Linked DNA regions of Rhinolophus ferrumequinum. The protein of the gene in region 2 binds, or shares a complex with, the protein of the main gene of each other region. Links are inferred from orthologs where the notes say so. Each region holds a gene or a part of one and is shown on either strand. Other genes may lie near its edges.

The links.
Region 1: the proteins of RAB11FIP1 (region 2) and RAB14 are in contact, whole or in part, in a crystal structure (PDB 4D0G), measured with the Homo sapiens proteins. The link is inferred for Rhinolophus ferrumequinum from reciprocal best matches to the Homo sapiens genes RAB11FIP1 and RAB14. Residues at the interface, in NP_001002814.2 of Homo sapiens: Glu1252, Ile1255, Asp1256, Asn1257, Leu1259, Val1260, Met1263, Pro1267, Asn1268, Leu1270, Arg1271, Ile1272; in NP_057406.2 of Homo sapiens: Leu28, His29, Ile44, Gly45, Val46, Glu47, Phe48, Gly49, Trp65, Arg72, Arg74, Ala75, Val76, Ser79, Tyr80.

The regions. Positions count from the first base shown.
Region 1 is NC_046295.1:71,586,248-71,596,729, forward strand, and holds the start of RAB14 (ras-related protein Rab-14), read right to left. Parts: upstream 4,241-10,482; 5' UTR 3,957-4,240; intron 1-3,956.
Region 2 is NC_046287.1:61,576,751-61,586,576, reverse strand, and holds the start of RAB11FIP1 (rab11 family-interacting protein 1), read right to left. Parts: upstream 4,928-9,826; 5' UTR 4,851-4,927; coding exon 4,474-4,850; intron 1-4,473. UniProt on the Homo sapiens protein: A Rab11 effector protein involved in the endosomal recycling process. Also involved in controlling membrane trafficking along the phagocytic pathway and in phagocytosis. Interaction with RAB14 may function in the process of neurite formation.

The DNA.
Region 1 (10,482 bases), on a different chromosome or scaffold from region 2:
AAATCTTTTTTAAAAAGAAATCTATACTTGGTCAGAGAAACTGATCTTTGTGCTGAATTTATAAATAAAAAATAAATACAAAACAAAGATGTACACGTAAAGAAATAAAAAAATAGTAATAATCCAAATCACCCTTTGGCCAAGAAACTCACTTAGAAATACTCTACAGAAACAAAAGCTTCAGTCCACAAGGTTACGGGTTCAAATGCATTTAATGCAGCGTTTTTACAGCAAAAAAAACTGGAAACAACCATAGTCCTATTAACAGGGAAATGACTGAATAAAGTACATCTGTACTATGAAACAATATACACATAGTTTAAAAACCACTTAGAAATATATGTATTAACTGGAAATATATCCATGATTTTGTTAAAAATTTTGTGAAAAAAAACCTGTTGCAGAGGTTTTTGCAATATTATATCCCATTTTAAACATACATTCTCTCTCTCAATCCTATATACATATAACAGGAGAGGATACACCCCAAATTGTGAAAAATGAATACATGGTCTGAGAGTAGAAAAAGGGAAGGGGAAAACTATTAACTTTTTTTATATATCCCTGCTCTGATAGTATGAATATGTACTGTTCTTAAATATTAAAAGTAGAACAAATAAAGGATTTTTAAAATATTTTAAAAGCATTTTACACACAATTCTGATATAAAACAAATGAAATAACGAACAAAAAGAACTCCCATTCATATTTCCAACATTACCTCTACATTTACCAATAATACAGGGACCATCATATGAAGCCAATCAGCCTCAAAATACAAACAAAAATCACACTGATAATCAAGGGTATTTTTTCTGTTTTTTTGTTTTGTTTTTGAATATAGTTTGGATTCTTACTGTGTTAACTTATGCACTATGTCTGACTAATCTTTTCACAACTGTTATATAGCTATTTTATTCTAATCCTCAGAACACATGGTGTTACTGTGTAATTTTTACATAACTGACTCAAGACAACACAGGAGAAAAACAACCCATTAACTATTTCAGGTGATTTAAATTCTGATCCTTACTGTTGAAATTAGTTTTTTTTTTTTACATGCAAGACATCTTGTTAAGAACACCAGAGCCAAGACAGACTGCTTTTGAGATTCCAATGTAAACATATTTGTTGAGCATCTAGCAATCAAAAGCCTCGTGCTGGACTTTAACAATATAGTAATGATCCAAAAAAAAAAAAAAACCAAAAAAAAAAAAATCCCCACACTGTCCTTACCACATGGAACTCAAGAACAGAAGCATTTTGATTTGCTTATAGACCCAGTAAAGTGGAATGCTACTTGATTTGTCAGGCAAGTGGACGTAAAACTTTTCGGTAGTTAATCTAATCAAAATGAGTGGTCAGTTTCCTTTCCTCAATAGAATTACAACCTCTGAAAACAGCCCACCCATTTTCTGAAACACACTTTAAAAAACTCACTTTTGACAAGTTATTTAATGTTACACTTTTATACAAATTAATAATGTAAGAAAAAAAACTGGACTCCTTAATGTGTCAAGAGCAGAGCAAAATGTTTCTAACTATGATAGTATGCTTGCTATGAATAGGAAACAAAGTACTCCAGTACAGCATCTCTGTTCATAGAAGGAAAGTATATAGGAAAAAACAAAAACAAAAAAACCCTGCACTTCCTACTACCGTTAAGATTAGTAATAGTGAAAAATTTACTGACGAAATGCTATGCTGAGATTTGCTTCAAAAGAAGTTGGTGGAGAGGGTAAAGGTGTATATAGATAACACAAGACTGCTCACTGTTGACACTGGCTGATAGGTGGTATGTAAAGGCTCAGCATGCTACTCTATGTTGTATAAAATTATCTAGAATAGAAAGTTTTTAAAAAGTAAAGCACAGTATCTTTGATACTTCTATTTACACACTGTTGTCTCCAGCCATGCCTGGCATTTTTAACCACGTACTATTTCAAGCTTTTTAAAAAAAATTAAACATCTCACAATAGCCCTAGTTTTAACACATTTTATTTGTCTTAACCAAAAGTTTCCTCTAATAGTACATCTTACTAACATTATGCAGATATTTAATACTGATAAAAATTGTAAGAACACCCCAAATTCTGTTGCATAGTTGAAGCATAACACAACTATAAAGCATAACATAAACGATAACGAGCAAAACTTTTTAAAACGTAGCTTTATTTCCAAGGAATTTTTTAGGTTATTAGAATCTAAGGTTTCACATCTTTAAAGCAACTGCCACTTACTGCGTGCCTAATTACTCCAGCTACTTTATAAACATCTCTAACCGTAAAAACTCATTTTACAGATAAGGAATGAGCTCAGAGGGGTGATATATCCTTGATCATAAACTACTAAAGGGAAAGCTAAGATTTAGGCCCAGATCTAACGCTCCAAAAGTCATGCTCCTCTCATTTCTTCCACAAAACACTCACTACATGCAATTGGGACACTTAACTACGTATATGCCAAGCAACATACGAAAGGCTTTTAATTCCATTTAATCCCCACAACTCTAAAATGTAGGTACTATTATCCCCGATATAGATAAGGACACTGAGTCTGAGAGGTTAAGTAACTTGCTTAAAGTCACTGAACTAGAAAGTCAAAGTACACTACATTTGTCAAGGCATGACCAAGTGACAGGGCCTAAGCAAAACCCTGAGGAAACATTTGGGGGAAGTCTTGGGGTGAGGAGGAGTGGGAGCTCGATTATTGCAAGGTTTGTCCTCGACAACCACATTTAGATAAAAGGTGGTGGAGACAGTTAATGAAACGAGCAGCCAACTTTGTAAAAGTTCAAATGTGGGCTCTAACAATTTCTGTGGGGCCACCAGGAAAGCACTTGTTCTCTGGCAACCCCCCGTTTCTTCTACAGATATAGGATGGAAATTTTGCCATCTCCTCTGTGGGGTAGTGAGAATGCGGACTGGCAGTGTAGTCGCTGACGCGACAGACTTTGGGGTTATAAGGGAGTCATCAGCTGTCATTCAAGGCAAAAACAGGAAAAAAGCAATCAAGCTGTAGCTACTTTTTAAATGGTCGTGTCTGTGAACCCAAGCCTAACCCGAGTGCAGTAAAAACCAGCCACCGTGGAGGGAGAGGCGAGTTTGCCGGCACCGTCGTTAACCAGCCACATCACAACTTCAAGCCTCAGTTTCCTCACTTGTAACATGGAGATAACTCGACTTATCACCACGAGCTAAAATAAATCTGTCCGAAGACGACTAAATCCGGTGCCTGGCACACAGTGAAGTGAAAACCATCGAAACATGCTTGTTCCTTCTTCAATCCTCGAAATGCCAAAACTTTTGATCTTCATTATTTCTCGATGCTATCCGGGCTCAGGGCCTCAGAGCATGTCAGGGGCCTTTGAGGGGCTCACCCAAACCGGAACCTCGCAAGCACCGACCCCCAGACCTCCTCCTCCACCCAGCCCGAGCCCAGAGACGGTCTGCCCACATCCACAAGGGCACCGGCGCCAGTCCAACATGCCGGCGACGTTGCGAGGTGCTGCCTTTTGTACTCGGGGCCAGAGCGGCCTAAGGGACGGGGACTGCCACGTCTGGGGTTCGTGGGCTGCAGGGCGGCGCGGCTCGCGTGCGTAACTACCGCGGGGGTGGTCCGCAGCCTCCGGGAACCGCAGCCAGGAGAGGGGCCTGCGGCGAGGCCAGTCTGCCCAGTCCCGCCGAACACACCCTGCCCGGCACGCCGCGAAGCTCTCCGCTGGGCGAGGAGCACCGGAGGCTGAGGCGGGCGCAGCGCGGGGACACCCTCGCCCCCCACGGGAGTCCCGGAAGGCCGGGCACCGGGGCGACCCCGGGCTCGCCGTGGCCTGACAGGGCCGGCCCTGCGGCGCCGCCTGCCCGCGGCCAGGGTTCGCTGTCGTCCCTACACCCTGCCATCGGAGAGCCGGGCGAGGAGGCCGCGGCCGGAGGGACACTGCGGAAGGCCTGGGTTACCTGGGGGGTTGCTGGTGGCTGGGCAGCTTTCCGGGAGGGAGGGGGGCGTCAGGACGAGGAAGAGGAGTGCGAGAGCAGCGGGAGAGGGGCGGAGGGGGTCGGCCGAGGCCCCGGCAGGTAGCGGGCGAGCCGAAGGGGTGCAGACGCACTGGCGGCAGTAGCGGTGGCAGCGGCGACTGCTCTGGCGGCTCCCTCAGGATCTTCCTCGGGCAGGTCCAAGATGGCGGCGCTCCCTGCACAGGGTTTCCTGTCACCCTCGCAATGGGCCGGACCACAAAAGAAGGGGGGTGGAGGATGCGCGCGCAACTGGCGGAGCTCGGAAGGAGGTGGCTGGGGCCCGGCCTACTAGCCACGCCTCTTCCTCAATCCTCCCTCCTGGACTTGTCGCGCCGCCGCCGGAGCCCGCCCCACGGGCCCTCACGCTCGAAGGGGCGGAGGAAAGCGCTTATGCGCAAGCGCAGTTTACTGCGCAGGTCCGCGTAGAAGCTGCTGAGGTACGTCTGGGTCTTTCAGGATAGGGCTGTCGCTTTGAGGACTTTTTACAATGTTTAATGCCAGCAACTACCACTGACAGGACGCTTACGGTCCACCAGCCACTGTGATAAGTACACATTACTTCACTCAGCATGTGTTTATTGAGCGCTTCGTACATAGCGGCGAGCAAGGCACACTAGGTCCCTGTCCAACAACCCCAGGGAGTACATGTTCCCATTTTATTGACAGCGAAACTGAGGGTCAGATTGATCAAGTCACTTGTCCAAGATCATGCAGCTAGGAAGTGGCACTTTCTGCCCTATGTTTCGCCTGTGTCCCGTTTAACCTCTCTTTGGGGGTATCTTTGATGGGAGGAGAGAAATTGTGACCACATTTTTCACAATTTATCCACCACCTCCCCATCTTCCAATTTGGTCTGCTTATTATCACCTTCCCAGAAAGTTTAGCCCACCTCGGTACAAGGCCGTGTTACGATTTTCGTGGGTCCTAGGCACTTTTTCCTTGTGCTTGTGGATCTATATATATAATTCATATTTTACAACTGCATTGGTATGGATGAATATATTAAAGCGCAAAACATTTTCTTCAACCTAAAAGTTCGTTTTTCTCTTCTGATTTTAAAAGCACTTGAAACATTGTGGGCCCCTAAAAGTATTATGGGCCTTAGGCACTGTGCCTAATGGATAACACCACTCTGCCTCAATCCCCCAAAATGAAGTTCAAGCTCACTCGTGGTGGCATTTAATACCTTTCATAAGCTAGTTTTGCCATGGGCAAGTGGGATTTCATTGGAAAAATGTATGGCAATTTACAAATCTTATTTTCAGAAGGACCTGGGTGCAAATTCCTGCTCTACAACTTACTACCCTGTTTCCCTGAAAATAAGACCTAGCTGGACCATCAGCTCTAATGTGTCTTTTGGAGCAGAAATTAATATAAGACCCGGTACAATATAATATAATACAATATAATGTAATATAATATATAAGACTTGCTATAATATAATATTAGTATAAGACCGGGTCTAATATATTATACTATGCTATACTGTAAGACTCGGTCTTACATAATATAATATAATATAAGACTGGGTCTTATATTAATTTTTGCTCCAAAAGACGCATTACAGCTGATGGTCTGGCTAGGTCTTATTTTTGGGGAAACACAGTAATGATACGTTGCCACTGGACATGTCACTTGATTTCTCAGATCCTCAGTCTCTTCTGCAAAAGAAGAATGATGATATCTATCTCCCATGGGTCCTTGTAAAATTAAATGAGATAATATATGCAGAATGCTTGACATACAAGGATTTAATACATGGAATAGTTATCACAAGATAATATAAAGTAATATTGAAATCCCTTCCATCCCTATAGGTCTATGCTTCTATTCCTATGTTCTTTAATTCTAACAAGTGTAGTTTGTTTGTGGTCACAGTTTAACATCTCTGAAATCAAGAAATTTGCCTATGCCAAATAGAGAAAGCTGTGAATTAATTGCTGTTACTTGTCCAGCTATGAACTTAGGTCTGGCTAGAAAGTTTCTGTGTATCCATTTGTCCCTGAATGCATAGCTAATGCTTATTGAACACTTACTATGTGCCAGGAAGTATCCTAAGAATAGTGAATATTTTCTTATTTAATCCCTACAGCACCCCCATGAAGTCAGTACTACATTCGCCCTATTTTATGAATGAGAGAACTGAGTGTCATACACGTCTAAAGTCATATAGGCAAAAACTGGCAGTGGTGGGACTTGAACTCAAGCATGTATGACTTCAGAACCCCCATTCCTAAGCACCACTCCATAGCGTGTTTCCCCGGAAATAAGATCGGGTCTTATATTAATTTTTGCTCCAAAAGACGCATTAGGGTTTAGGTTCAGGGGATGTCATCCTGAAAAATCATACTAGGGCTTATTTTCCGGTTAGGTCTTATTTTCAGGGAAACATGGTATTCATCCCTTATTTGCACTTGTAACAGCTTAACTGTAGATCCCTAATTGTTGCGTAAGTCTGTCAGAGACATTACACTTTGAGGCAGCATTAAAGAGAAACGTTGTTGTAAATGCAGAGTGCCTGTCACATGCTAAGCAATGCAGTTAAAGTAGAAATCGTCGATTCTTGTGATAAGCCACAGAATTTTCAGTTATGAGAAACTGTGTGTGACCAATTGCAGCATAAAAAAGGACCGTCTTTCCTGCCAAACTTCTGTCAGGGTAGTTCTAAGTAACGGTTTTTAAAAAGCTATTTATGTGAAAGGAGATATATATACAAAATATTCATTGCAGCACTGTTTGTCATAGCAAAAGACTAGAGACAAACTATCACTAGATGGCTGTTATAAATTTTCGTACATATTGTGATATATGCAGCAATTTCAAAATATTAAGCACATGTATATAGGACAATCTCTAAGAAATACCTCAGGTGGAAAAAAAAGATTCAGAAAACTAAACGTATGCTAACGTTTCTTAAAATATAAAAGGAATGGGAAATAGACATATGTGCTTATGTCACTAGACATTGAGGGGCATTTTCCCTGTTGTACTGAAACTGCTGCTGAGGCCCAAATCTGAACCAAAAAGTCCATAGGGGCCCACATTCTACATTTAAAGAATTGCGGCGGGGAGGGAGGTGGTAGATGAGGGTAAAGGGGATCAAATATATGGTGATGGAAGGAGAACTGACTCTGGGTGGTGAACACACAATGTGATCTATAGATGATGTAATACAGAATTCTACACCTGAAATCTATATAACTTTACTAACAATTCTCACCCCAATAAACTTTAATTAAAAAAAAATTGCCAATGGTTGGTACTATCTATATTCCAGCGGGGCATTTGAAGAGCCTTTATTGTTCTACCAGCCCTTACACCAACCCCACTTATTCCTCATTCCCACCCCTCTCCTCACAGACAAACGTCACCACTAAATAGTGGAAAGAAAGAATGGAGAGAAGGGAGGGCACGTAGCCTTTAGGAAAATGCAGTGTTCTGAAAAGAAGCCTTCCTCTCCCTCCGTGAGAATCACATCCCTTCCTCCCCCTCCATGAGACTCACTAGTGAACGTTAGGTGTGCCTGCAGGCAGAGGAGACTGGCAACCCCCCAGATACATGTTTGGGTAGCAGGCTTACTGATGTGCTCTGCCCCATTGCTTCCTAAGCAAAGGAAAACACAAACGGAGAGAGACCACATAGCAGGCGGCTTTGGATATCATGGTGGAGGGCTCTAGATGGAGAGGGACTAAAACTGCCCCCACCCACCATGTTCACACACACCTTGACTTCCCAGTCCTAGGTTGGAGAACAACAGAGATGTTCAAGCTGGCCCTCAGCTGGAAGATTCAGCAAATGCGTGAGGGGTCACCCATTCCTAAGGGAGATGCATGAGATCACTCCAGGTACTGATTCTTTGTCGTATCCACCTGTTCTTGTTTCATTTCTACCTGTATATATTTTTATAAGTTCTTTGGTAGCAATAGGTGTTATTCTATTCTTTATCTTTTTCCAGAACCTAAGCATTTAAATCATTTTCAAATCTCTCAATTGTGTTTATTTAAATCTAATTAATTCATCTCTTTATTGGTTGTGTAGGGTTAATCTTATTTGTTAATTTTCCTCATATGTTGTAGAATTTTGGTTCAGAAGCTTATCTTGGATTGTAGATTTTTTTTTCTCTGTCTCTATGCTCACCCCTTTCTGTGTAGTGATTTTGGAGTTGCCACCAATTCAGAACCAGATATCAAAATATTGGTGTCCCAATTTCTAAGGTAACATTGAAGATGCAGCAGAACCAATACAATCTATACTCTGAAATTTACTACCATGTGCATGTGCTACCTAATTTTTAAAAAAAACTAATATATTTTCAAATGTAATTGATTAGCTTGCAGTGATACATAATTCAATTAAGTGAAAACAAATAATTAGAAATATTAATCAAAAAAGAAATGGCAATTGATATACTTCAAAATTTAGCAGGCTGACCCAGAACACAAAATCAAGTGCGTGGAACTCTTTAGTCTCTGGATATGCAAAAGGATTCAAATGTACAATACTAAAGAAAAAAGTGATGTATAAATGTAAGGATATGTATATGCTGTATTCAATTATAAAAGAAATTTCATGACCATGAAAATAGTTCTCTTCCCCCCATGCCTTATACTGATCCCCTTCCCCCGTAATGTAATCCTCTGGACTCAGAGCTTCTAAAGTTAATCCATAACAAGAACAACAAAAATCACATAAGGTGAAAAGTGTACTTGAAAATTTTTCAGGAGAGCTCTGCACTGGAGACTGAGTTTTCCTCCATTGTTGGATATGGTAGCTGTCTCTGTGGCTGAGCACCGGAAGAAGTCGGTGATTTAGATTTAAAGGCCATGTTGCATGAAAAATATACATCTTTGAACTTAAGAATCACTCTCAGTGTGGCAAAATGACCACGCCATAATATCTACGTGAAAACTAAGACCTAAGAAAATAGCAGATTCAATTCTTTCATCACATGCTGATTCCAAGGCATACAGTTATTTAGACTAAGGGAGGGCAGAACAGTATTTACATTTTCTTTATTGCTTTTTTGACCTTGTACATTTAGTTGAAATAATGTAAGTTGAAAGCATGTGTGGTGTGACACAGCTGTATGAAACACGGTGATTCTCCACATGGCACAAAATATGGCAGGTGCTGCCAAAAACTGAAATCTTAACCCTAGTTGCAAGCTAACAGCCTAATGCAGTTTCACGGATACAGGCAGAAGACACGAGACTTCCTAGGTCAGAGACAAAGGACTTCATTGTTCACATCATGATATGAAGCACGAGCATTAGCATCTTTACATCGGTTCCTGGATGTCTGAACACAGTGTGTTACAGGAGAGGAACCCTGAACTTAGGGAAACCAAATCTTTTATAGTACAGAATAAGCATCTGTCCTTTGCTCTGGAGGGAAACTATCTTCAAAGGCTGTTTGCTCTACAAACACCCTTGAAAAGATAGTCTAGGACAAGTGACGTCAGTGCCTCTGCTTGCAAGATGTGCAAAAACACAAGAGACTCATGGAGGGTCTTCTTCCAACAGGGACAAGATTTTATTGTGTTGTATTATATACTTGGTGGCAGGGGACGATGAGGGAAGGGTTTACTATGGAGGAAAAAATATGGTTTTGGGAGCACACTGAACTTAGCTCCATTTCTAGCACAACTTTTCATTAGCTATGTGACCTTAGTCGAATCACTTAACTTCTCTGAGCCCCAATTACACAATGGGATAATAGATGTATCACCAAAGAATTGTTGTTTAGATCAACTAAGAAAGTGTAATGGAACATACTGGGCACAGTATCTGTAATAGTCTAAGCATTCAACAGATGCCCAATTCTTCTATTCTTCCCCATTCACTGATTCCCTCATACAATCAGGTGCACAATTAGGCCTCTGCCAGAGCTCCACACCCCTCCCCCAAATTAGGAAGCATCTTCTGGGGTCGCTACTTGAGTTGGTTAAGATACATGGGTTCAGATGCTGTAACTAAGAGACCCAAAAATGATAACATCTTTCTCAAGTTAGAAGTTTACTCCTTTCTCACACAGAAGTTTGGATAAGTAGTCAAGAGCTGGTATGGCAGCTTGAAGGTAGCAATTTTTAAGCTCTTCCTTGGTTGTTGCACTGCCACCCAAATACATAATTTCCATCTCATGGTTCAAAATACTTACTCCAGCTGCCACCATCATGTCCCATTACAGCCAGCAGAAAGGAGAAAAAGAAATTGATGGCATGTGCCTTCCCTTTAACGTATGATCTAAAAGTTGTGCTCATCACCTTTGCTCATATCCAATTGGTGAGTCATGGGCACACCTGGCTACAAGGGAGGCTGGGAAATGTAGTCTTTATTCTGGGAAGTATTATTATTATTATTTTTTTTTTTTGGGAAGTATTATTATTAATAGAGGAAGAAAAAAATTGATATTGCGAAACAACTAGCCATTTCTGCCATACCACCATTCTTTGCTTAAGAGGGGGCAGGCA
Region 2 (9,826 bases):
GTGATTTTTAACAAAGTAGATCACATCACCCCCGCTTTTGATACTCAGTGGCTTCCCATTGCTCTTAAATAAAGCCCTGCCTTCTTCTTCAGCCTCTCAAGCTTCCTAGGTTCCTGCCTCAAGGCCTTTGTACAGACTGTCCCCTTACAAGGCCCCCTTCCTTCACTTTTCACTAGAAAAATTCCTCTCTAGAAAAATTCCTCTCTATTCTTCAGGTCTCTGCCGCTATCTGCAGTCTCCTTTTTTTTTTTTTTTTTTTTAAAGATTCCACTGGGGAAGGGGAACAGGACTTTACTGGGGAACAGAGTGTACTTCCGGGACTTTTTTCAAGTCAAGTTGTTGTTCTTTCAATCTTAGCTGTGGAGGGTGCAGCTCAGCTCCAGGTCCAGTTACCCTTGTTAGTTGCAGGGGGCACAGCCCACCATCCCTTATGGGAGTTGAGGAATCGAACCCGCAACCTTGTGGCTGAGAGCCCATGCTCCAACCAACTGAGCCATCTGGCACTGGCCCAGGTGGGAATCGAACCGGCAGCCGTAGGCGTCAGGAGCACGGAGTTCCAACCACCTGAGCCACCGGGCCAGCTCGAGTCTCCTTCTTTAAAACATGTGCTTTCTGCTCCTTTCTCTTATGATACCCTGTTCTCTTCCTCCACAGTACTTATCACCATACGTGATTATTTATTTATGTGTTCTTTTGTTTAATGTCTAGTATCTTCCCTGACAAGGCTCTGAGCTTCCTGAAAGCAGGGATTATGTCTGCTTTCCAATATTTACAATGTATACCCAGTACCTAGCACATAGTATGCATTAAAAAATATTTATGAAAACTATGGATGAATTTTAAAGACAAAGAAAAAAAACCCAGAACTTTCCCCATGCTAATTGAATGTCTTACAAACGAAATCATAATCAAATAATAGCATTAAAAACACGAAGGGACATCTTTCACAGTACCAAAACAATGAGTTAAGGTAACTAACTTCCCCCTTCTTGGTCATTTCATTCTACTGCCATAAGCAGGTTATGGTTTATCCCAGAACAGACAGAGAATTGTCTTGGGCATTGAGCTATCAGTTTCCTACAATGGAGTGGGAGGGGACGGTGGCAGAGTGAGAGGCGGGAGGGTTTCCAGTAAGGCCCAATATTATCTTTAAGGGGAATCCCACGAAAGGAAAAACTTAACCAGTGACAGCATCGCTCAAATTTTCCAGTCTGTTACGAAAAAAGTCAGTGTGCTTAGGAAACCTAAAGGTATGAACACAACCTAAGGCATCTCCCTGCATCCAACTATCCCAGAAAAACAACTCTCTAATGCTTACTTCTTTTTAATAACCCAAATTTTCTTTGTCAACTTATTACAGCATCTTATTACACTTACAGTTCTTCAAAATACTAACCTTTATTAATATCAAAGATTTTTTCATATACAACCAAATTCCCTCTTAAATCTTAAAGATATAAGAAAGTGACTGTCACACTCTCTTTGTATCTGAAAGACTACTAAAGTGTTAAGTTTTATGATATTTAATTACACAATGGCCTTCCAGTCACCAGCCTGAATGAATATTTATTTTAACCTGTCTTCAACAGGTAATTTCCCCAAATATTGCTCTTAGTATCCTAAAATGATTTTCTTTATGTCAATGTAGGACCCCAAACTACATGAGATTAGAGAGTTGAGCAGGGAATCCACATTAGTCACCTGATTCTACCCCTTAGATTCATATCTGTTTTATGACCATGAGACTTAACTGATTTCCATTTAACCAAGGCCCAAGTGAGACCCCAAGTCTTTAACTGATAAGTATAAGTGCAAAACCAATTCATTTCTATTTCTTCCTAACTAAAGGGGCTATGCACTCTTCCCTATTAAATGTATGCTATCTATATGTCAGCCTCTGTTTGATGTTTCAAAGATGTGTGTCATCACACTAAATTTGAGGTCTGCAAAATCTGAGTCATTATAAAAAGCTTATTCTCTTAACTCCAAATATATGGTGGATGGGGGCTTATCAAGAAAACAAATACAAATATTAGTACAGTTAGCTCTTCATGCCTTGAGTTTTAGCTTCTGGACCCATGACAAAAGTCATACTCTATAGCAGCAATCTTCTTTGCACATACACACAAACCTAAAGACCACGATTTGAGCTTTTGTTTTGTTTCTGGTTTTTAATATCTACAGTGTAGTCAAACCGTTAATAACTGGTTCAAACAACTTTCCTAGTCCAACCAATTTCATTCTGTTAAAGTTCCGTCTCTCAGTTTATATTGCATTCTCCATATCTCAGCTGTCTTGAGCACCCAAGTTATGTACCCAGGCATCAGACAGGCTTAGTTTAACTGGGTTCCCCCCCAGCACCTTGGAAAGTCCCAAGAAGTGAGAGATGGAAAGCATGCAGTTTCACCTACTGCTAGAGGAGCAAAGAAGCCTTCCATTGCAGTTTATTAAAAAAACCCGTCAACTAAGCACCATTTTCCTACAAGCTGATACTGTGGCTAAGTGGTAATCAGCTCATATAATAGAGACAAGAGTAACCATCTAGGTTTAGGATTACACTGGAGAGGATGAGAAAATGAAGATGAAGACTAAACCCTTCCTGAAATAGGGATGTTTTCTTTCCTCACAAAGCAGTAACAGAACCTTTTGACCCAAGGTCTTTTGAATCTATACATGGGTTCCATTAATCCAGGAAACCAGAAACAGCTTACAAACATCAATTAAGTCAGGCAACAAGCTCCATTTATAAATAGGGAAACTTGGGTGTTCAGAGACTAAGCAGCCTGAAGCCCAACAATGAGTCAGGACCAGAGTGGGCACCAGACCCAGGAATCTAGAGTACCCATCTCTGGCAGGGAGATGTGGTCTTTCAAGAAAATAAAATGTTCCTATAAGAAACAGATGGCAGAGACAGATGATAATATCCACAGATCTTGGTTTGGGACCAGACAAAGGACTGCCAACAGTGCCCAATTAAAGCAGGAAAGGAAGCCAACCCAAGGCCCCAAATAGCATTTAATCAAATGGAAAATTAGCATTGCTTCAGCCCCTCCTTAGCAAAGACACTGCTCACCTTATGGTTTGTAAGTTGATGCCATGAAGATACCCCATCAATCCTCACCTCAAGGCTCTCTATTTTTATCTGATTTGAGTTCAGAAATGCCCATTCACCTTTGGCCAGATAAGCGAATCAGGTATTACATTTGCAAGCATGCATGCTGAAACTGGACCTACCTTACAGAAAAGGGAGTCTGGTAACTTCAAACCCTCTGGTTTTTCCTGTCTCCTTCACAAGGGAAAGTTAAAATACTGTTTATATCTAAAACACACAATGTGAATCAGTGTGCTTCATAAACTGTAGGGGTAGGTGGTAGTATGATTGGCTTGTATATTTAAGGTCCAGCAAAGCAACCAATTAAGCTACCTGAGGCTAGCTTTTGGTATTCTAGATGAGCATAATCAAATGTTCCATAATCAAATGCTCCATTCCAAACACCTGTGAAAGAGAACCACCAACACCCTGGAGTGAAATGGGTTTTGCCCAGCTTTCCTGCAGATATGGTAACACAGAACTTTTGACTGAGAGAGCAGCTATCTGTAGGTAGTAGGACCAGAGAGAACTTTGACAAACTCCAAAGAAAAACAATGCCTACTCGCCAGTTCCACTGGGCCAAGGGCAGACCCTGGCTCCAGCCATCTCTGGCAAATTCTTACTAATTTGTGGCCCAGGGCAAACAGGGTTAATATTTTTCAGTCTGAAAGTTAAGACCAAGCTGTTCCAGCATTGTAGAAGATGGGGGAGGGGGAGCAAATTTCTTCACCAACCCCTTAGGTGGTGGTGAGGTGGAGGTGAGAGATGGCCATCGCAGGACAAGCTGCATTCCCCACTCCCCAGCCCCCATGTCCACCCACCCCACACTGTAATGTCCTTGCTCCTTCCCTGGCTGAGCCTCTAGGGCTAGGAAGCGTCAGAGGGTTTCACTCCACCATTGAATCCACACTGCGCACTGGCCCAGTCAGTCTGAGCTTAGTGTCCAGTTCAGTGAAATACCCAGGCGGCTTTCCACATAAGCTAATGAGTGTATCAAATATACATACTACCCACACTAATAATAATAGGAATTCGTCTGCCCAGATGTATTTTCAATTCACCAAAAATTCGTTTAAGTGCTTACTAAGTTCCAGGCGCTGAGCGACGTCCTGAAGAATCAAAAAGTCCCCGGGTACCCCCACTACTTTCAGAGCCCACATACTGGGAGAGCTGGGGTGGGACAGCCGAAAGAGAAGTTGAAGCTAGGTGAGCATGCTACTACAGGTCCAGGGGACCCCTCTTTCAAAGCCTCTCTCCGCCCGTCCCCTTGGGTCACAGCAGCGCCGTGACTACAGCGCTCACTCTAAAAGGGTCTCAGCGCCCAGGCCACCCCGCACTGCCCGCGCCTCAGCTCCGGGTCCTCTCCCCTGTCCCGCACTCACTGGGTCTTCCTGCGGCCCTGGTCCCGGTGCAGCTCTCGCAGGTCCACCTCCGCGCGGCCCAGGAACTTGTCGAGGCCAAGCAGCGCTCGGTGCAGCACGGTGAGCTGCAGGGTGGCAGCGGTGGCGGGCGCGGCCCCGGCGGACAGCAGAGGCGGCAGCTCGAAGGTGGCTTCCTCCCGCCACACCGGCGCACCCAGGCTGCGCTCGGACACCGAGGTGGCGTACTTCTCCTTGCCCACCTGGATCACGGCGTACGCATCGCTCGTGCCGCCGGGGCCCTTGGCCCGCAAACCCCGTGCCTGCAGCACCGTCACCTGCACGTGTGTTGGGGACCACACGGCCCCAGGGCCACGGCCCCCCGAGGCCGCCAGGGACATGGTGACCACGCCGTGATCTGCTCCAAAGCGTAAAGAAGATCGCAGCGACTCGCGGCCTTCACGGCCCGCCCCGCCACCCCGGCCACTTTAAGGTTTCCGGCCACGCCCCCGCCAGGGCCCGCCTCCCCCGGCACGGCCCCGCCCCCCGCGCCGCTAGCCCCACCTGCGCGGGCCCGACCTCTGCCGCGCAAGCCCTGCAGGGCCCTCGAGCTGACGCGGCGAGTGCAGGGGCGGGGCTTAGAGAATTCTGGCTTCAGAGGTTGTAGGTGAGGGATCCCCAACTGCCACAGGTCAAACCATCCAATCGGAGCTGTCCCAAGCACTGACTTGGGACTCAGACCTCATTTCCAGTCTGGCATTGCCCACTGGCACGTGTGTGACTTTGCACAGATTACTTAACATCTTTTGGTCTCAGTTTCTTCATCTGTGAAATGAGATAACAATCACCTCCTAGAATTGCTATAAGAAAATACTATAGCCTGGCATGTGATGATTTCTTAATAAACTGTAGCCATGAGGGTGATAATAACATGACCCCAAATTCACTGCTCTTTCTACTTTGGCCGCAGGGGTAATTACTCCGGAGGAAGGTGGGTTTTGGGATGGTGCCAGGTGGGTGGCAAAGGAGGAGGATCATTTGAGGGCCTGAAAAGGGGAAGGTAAAGTGGGAGGCAGGGCATGAGGTGATGTGGAGGTGTCCTATTTTGCCCTGCTTTCACCAAATAAGGTGAAGCTAACAGGCTAAGTTAGGAAAGGGGAAGAAAGAAAATTGAAAACGCGGTTGCCAAACCAGACGTCAGGAGCAGAGGCTCCGCCCAACCCCAGTTCCCCATTTCTCTTGGCTGTACCCTCTTGGATTCCCCCTGCTCTTTACCTCTGGGCTCCAGTTAGTTACTTCTTTGTTCCAAATGTCCATTAGATTGGCTTATTCCCTTCATTCCCAATACCCTACTTCAAAGGAAAGGTCACTTTGAAGGTTTTTAGGTTTTACTGTTAACAAAAGGCCCAGAGCAGAGAAGTGACTGATTCAAATCCCCACAACAGAGGCAGGACTAGAACCCAGGTGTCCTGACTCCCATCCAGTGTTTATGCTGCGTCCCTTGTTTCTTCCAGATCCTCAGAACCCCAATCTTGGATAGCTACTAGTTTCCCCCTGATCTCTAGGCTCTCCTCCCTCCAGTCCACATGGCATATTGCTGTGCTAACTAACCTGCTTGAAATCCTACAGTGTTGCCTCACCTGCATTAACTGCATTAACTTCAGACTGAGATTTCAAGGCATTCCTATTTTGGCCCCACCCTGACTCATTCTCCTCTATCTCCCCAACAAACTGTAGCCCAGGTAACCACCTCCAGGCCTGTACCACTTGGGTGTCCTGTGGCTGCCCTACCAACCTCTCTGCCTACCCAAGTTCTTCCCACTACAAGGCTTCACTCGGGTTTCTCTAAGGTTTGGCTTCCAATAGCCCCCTTTCATGGCAGGGACCAGGTGATGACTTATTTAACTTGTCTCTTCCACACCCCTAGCAGAAACCTGGGTACACAGTAAGTCCTTGGGAACTGCTATGGAACTGAAAAATTTGCAGATTATTCCAGCTAACCATGAATACATAGTGTTTTCTTTTGCCATGTAGGAAGTTACAACACAGACTTTGTGCCTCAGATTTGCAATTGAGGGCAGCTTACAGTATGGGAAAAGCCTATTTAGTATGTTGTAAATATTTAATGGTGATCAGAAGGGGAAAGGAAAGAAGGCACCAGACATGTAAATGGCAGGAAAGCCTAACAGACAGAACTCTGTTGTTTTGGTGATATTTTCCCTTCATGATGATCTGTTAACCTCATGGCTCCATTCATCACCATAAAAATTTATTGAAAACTTACTTTGTGCTAGGTGCTACCTTTGAATGAGATCCAGTTCCAAGGCACACTATGAAAAACACTATAAAGGAAGTCCTGTATTAACCAAATGCTTTGGTTGTTTTGAGGACAAAGTGATTTCTCTACGTAGATGGATTGTTATGAAGGAAGTAGTACTGCCCTGGGTCCTAAAGGATATACTAGATTTAACGGACAGAAAAGGGGACATGGGGGAAGAGCATTTCAGGAGGAGAGAACAGACCAGCCTAAGCAAAGGTGTGGGGTCCAGAGAATTCACAGCATGTTTAGGGGTTATGAATACCCCATTGGGGCTGGAATGTGGAATATTTTAGGAGGGCACTGGGGGGCAGGTGGTGGAGGTAAAACAGCCAAGGTAGGTGGGCCCAGCTCATGCAGATCATGAACACCAGGCTAAGGAGTTTATACCAGAGTGTTAGACCAGGTGAGCCAGCCTTCAGAGGATTCTGAGCAGTGGCTTGATCAGGCTGTGCTTCAGGTTGTAAGGCCGGTATGAGCACCAGTAGCCTAGCAGCCAATAGCATGGCAGGTCACAGCCAGATATCTTCCTTCATTTTCCCCTGGGGACATCTGCCTGCAACCCCATTCTGTCCCAGCCCTTACCCATCCTTGGTGTCTATTCTATGTTGGCACTGCATTAAATAAGGCATACACTTCCCTCTTGGTTGTCCTACCTGTCCTGCTCCATTACATTCCAGCTGGACAAAGTCAGGGATTTAGGGTCAAAACTGACCCTGGGCATAAAGATTTTCAACTTTGGCCTCCCCTCCTGCCCAACATTCACTCTGTTAGTGCAGCGCGCAAAAATAAAGAGAGCCAGGAATGAAACCTAGCTGGACAGCCTCGCAGACTGAGTATGACACGAAGCATTCCTTGGACAGGATTGGAGGACAAGGGGCTGGTGTGGGGAGAGTTCACGGTGCTGGTGGGAGGAAAAATTATGAGCACCTTGTGACCTCATGTGTTTGGGTTTCTGTTAGACACAAATAGGCTCTATGGTTAAAGCAGAGGTGGTAGGTTGGGGGAGGGCAAGACTGCCTGGCCACTCCTGAGAAATTGAGATTAAGGTTCTTCTCTAGACAATGGACACAGGCAGGGGTTAACTCAGAGGAGTGGGGTTCACTAGAGGCAGGAATTGGACATTTGTCAGAGAAGAGAGACGCCAGGAGCTCTAGCATGGGGTGTGTTTAAGAGCTGGCTTACTGCTCCCTACATGCTGGGGTGGACCTTTTCTCCCCTCCTCCAGCCAGAACATATTGTCTGTCCCTCAAGACTCTCTCACTGACCACCCTGGAGCAAGAGTCTGTCTTCTCCCAATTTTACAGACCCACAGTCCCCGGTCCTGTGGCGACAGACCCCACAGGTTCACAGAATTCCAGGAGTGTTTGTAGAAACCTCCCACAGCTAGGGTGCGGCCAGATGACTGCTCTTGTCTCTCACCCCGCCTCTAGCTCAGACTGAAAGAGGAAAAGAGTTTCAATCTGCCCTGAGCACGTGGACAAGGCGCCCGGCAGGTTAGACTGGACAAGTTAGCCACCTGTCCTCTCCCAAAGCAGCAGAGCAGAGAGTGCCGGACTCCCAGTCACCAGCCTGGCCTTGGGCCTCTCTGCAGGCAGCTCACACCTGTGCAGTTAGATCGTGAGTGCAGATTGTCTTTTAGGAGCAGCTGGGAAGAATTCCCCTTTGCACAGAGCTAGAGCCCAGTGCTAGGGGTAGGGAAGCAGGACATGCCAAGGGAGAGACTTTCACTACCCTGCTAACTGCCAATCACTCGTGTCCACAGCACCTTAGTATCTCCCAACTGTGGGAACACTAACTCAAAAATCATCTCTGGGGACTTTGGGTGGGCTAATGAGTTATCCCAAGGGAGAAGCAGAAAGGGGAGAGGAATGGCAGCTTGTCTTTCTCCTTTGCCTCAGACTCTCAGGTGTGGTGACAAAAGTCCACACACATGACTCATTCACTGGGGTGCTTGATAAACAGCCTTTGGCTTCTTCACGGTTTTGGCTTCTCCAGGCCCACTCCACTGACCAAGGAAACTACCTTCCAGGTATAGACTCTAGGAGCAAAGGCTTCCTGCCTCATAGACAGACGATGGTCTCAACAGGCAAATGGTTACCTTACAATCCTGTTGACAGTATTGCTTTGTTTACAAAACTTGCATCATAGGTAACACAAAGGTATTATCTTTCCATCTTGTCAAGTCCCTTCAAGAAGGTCCCTGAATCAATCCCACAACTAAAAGGTATAAAAGGCTACATACCTCATCCTTTCTCAATTGCTGGGACTTCTGGACACAGACCCCACCATAGTAGAGCTGGCCAAGAGATGGGTGTGGCTAGACCCACCATTCCTTTATTTCTCTTCCGTTTTGAAGGCACAGTGCATGGCACAGGGCAAAAGGGTATGTTGATTTTTTTAAAGTATAGTTGGCATACTGTCTTATATTAGCTTCCGGTATACTACATAGGGATTCATCATTTATATACCTTACGCTGTGATCACCACAATAAGTCCAGTAACCATCTACCACCATACAAAGTTATTACTATATCGTTGACTGTTTTTCCTATGCTATAGATTATATCCTCGTGACTTATTTATTTTATAACTGGACGTTTATACCTCCTATTCCCCTTCACCCTTTTCATCCATACCCCCACTCCCCTCCCCTCTGGCAACCATCAGTTTATTCTCTGTATCTGTGAGTCTGTTTCTGTTTTGTTTGGTATGTTGACTTTTGACCCTAAGGAATTATAATGTAGGCATGGAGACTTAAAGCTGAGCCCAACATATTTTACAAAATCCAAAAGGGAGCACCAGAATAACACTCTTTAATTCTAGGGGGCAACACCAGGTTTACCTGTCCCTATAGCCCTCTTAGGAATCTCTGCCCATCTTTGGGAAATCCTATCCCTTCTAAGCATTCTACAATGCATAACGCTTTTCCTAAGTCTGAATCATTCACCCTGGAGAAACATTTCCCCAACCACCACCCCAATCACCCACTGGAAGTTTCAGCAAGGAAGGTCAGTGAAACTAAATTCTTACAGAACAGTTTGGGAACAAATTACAAAT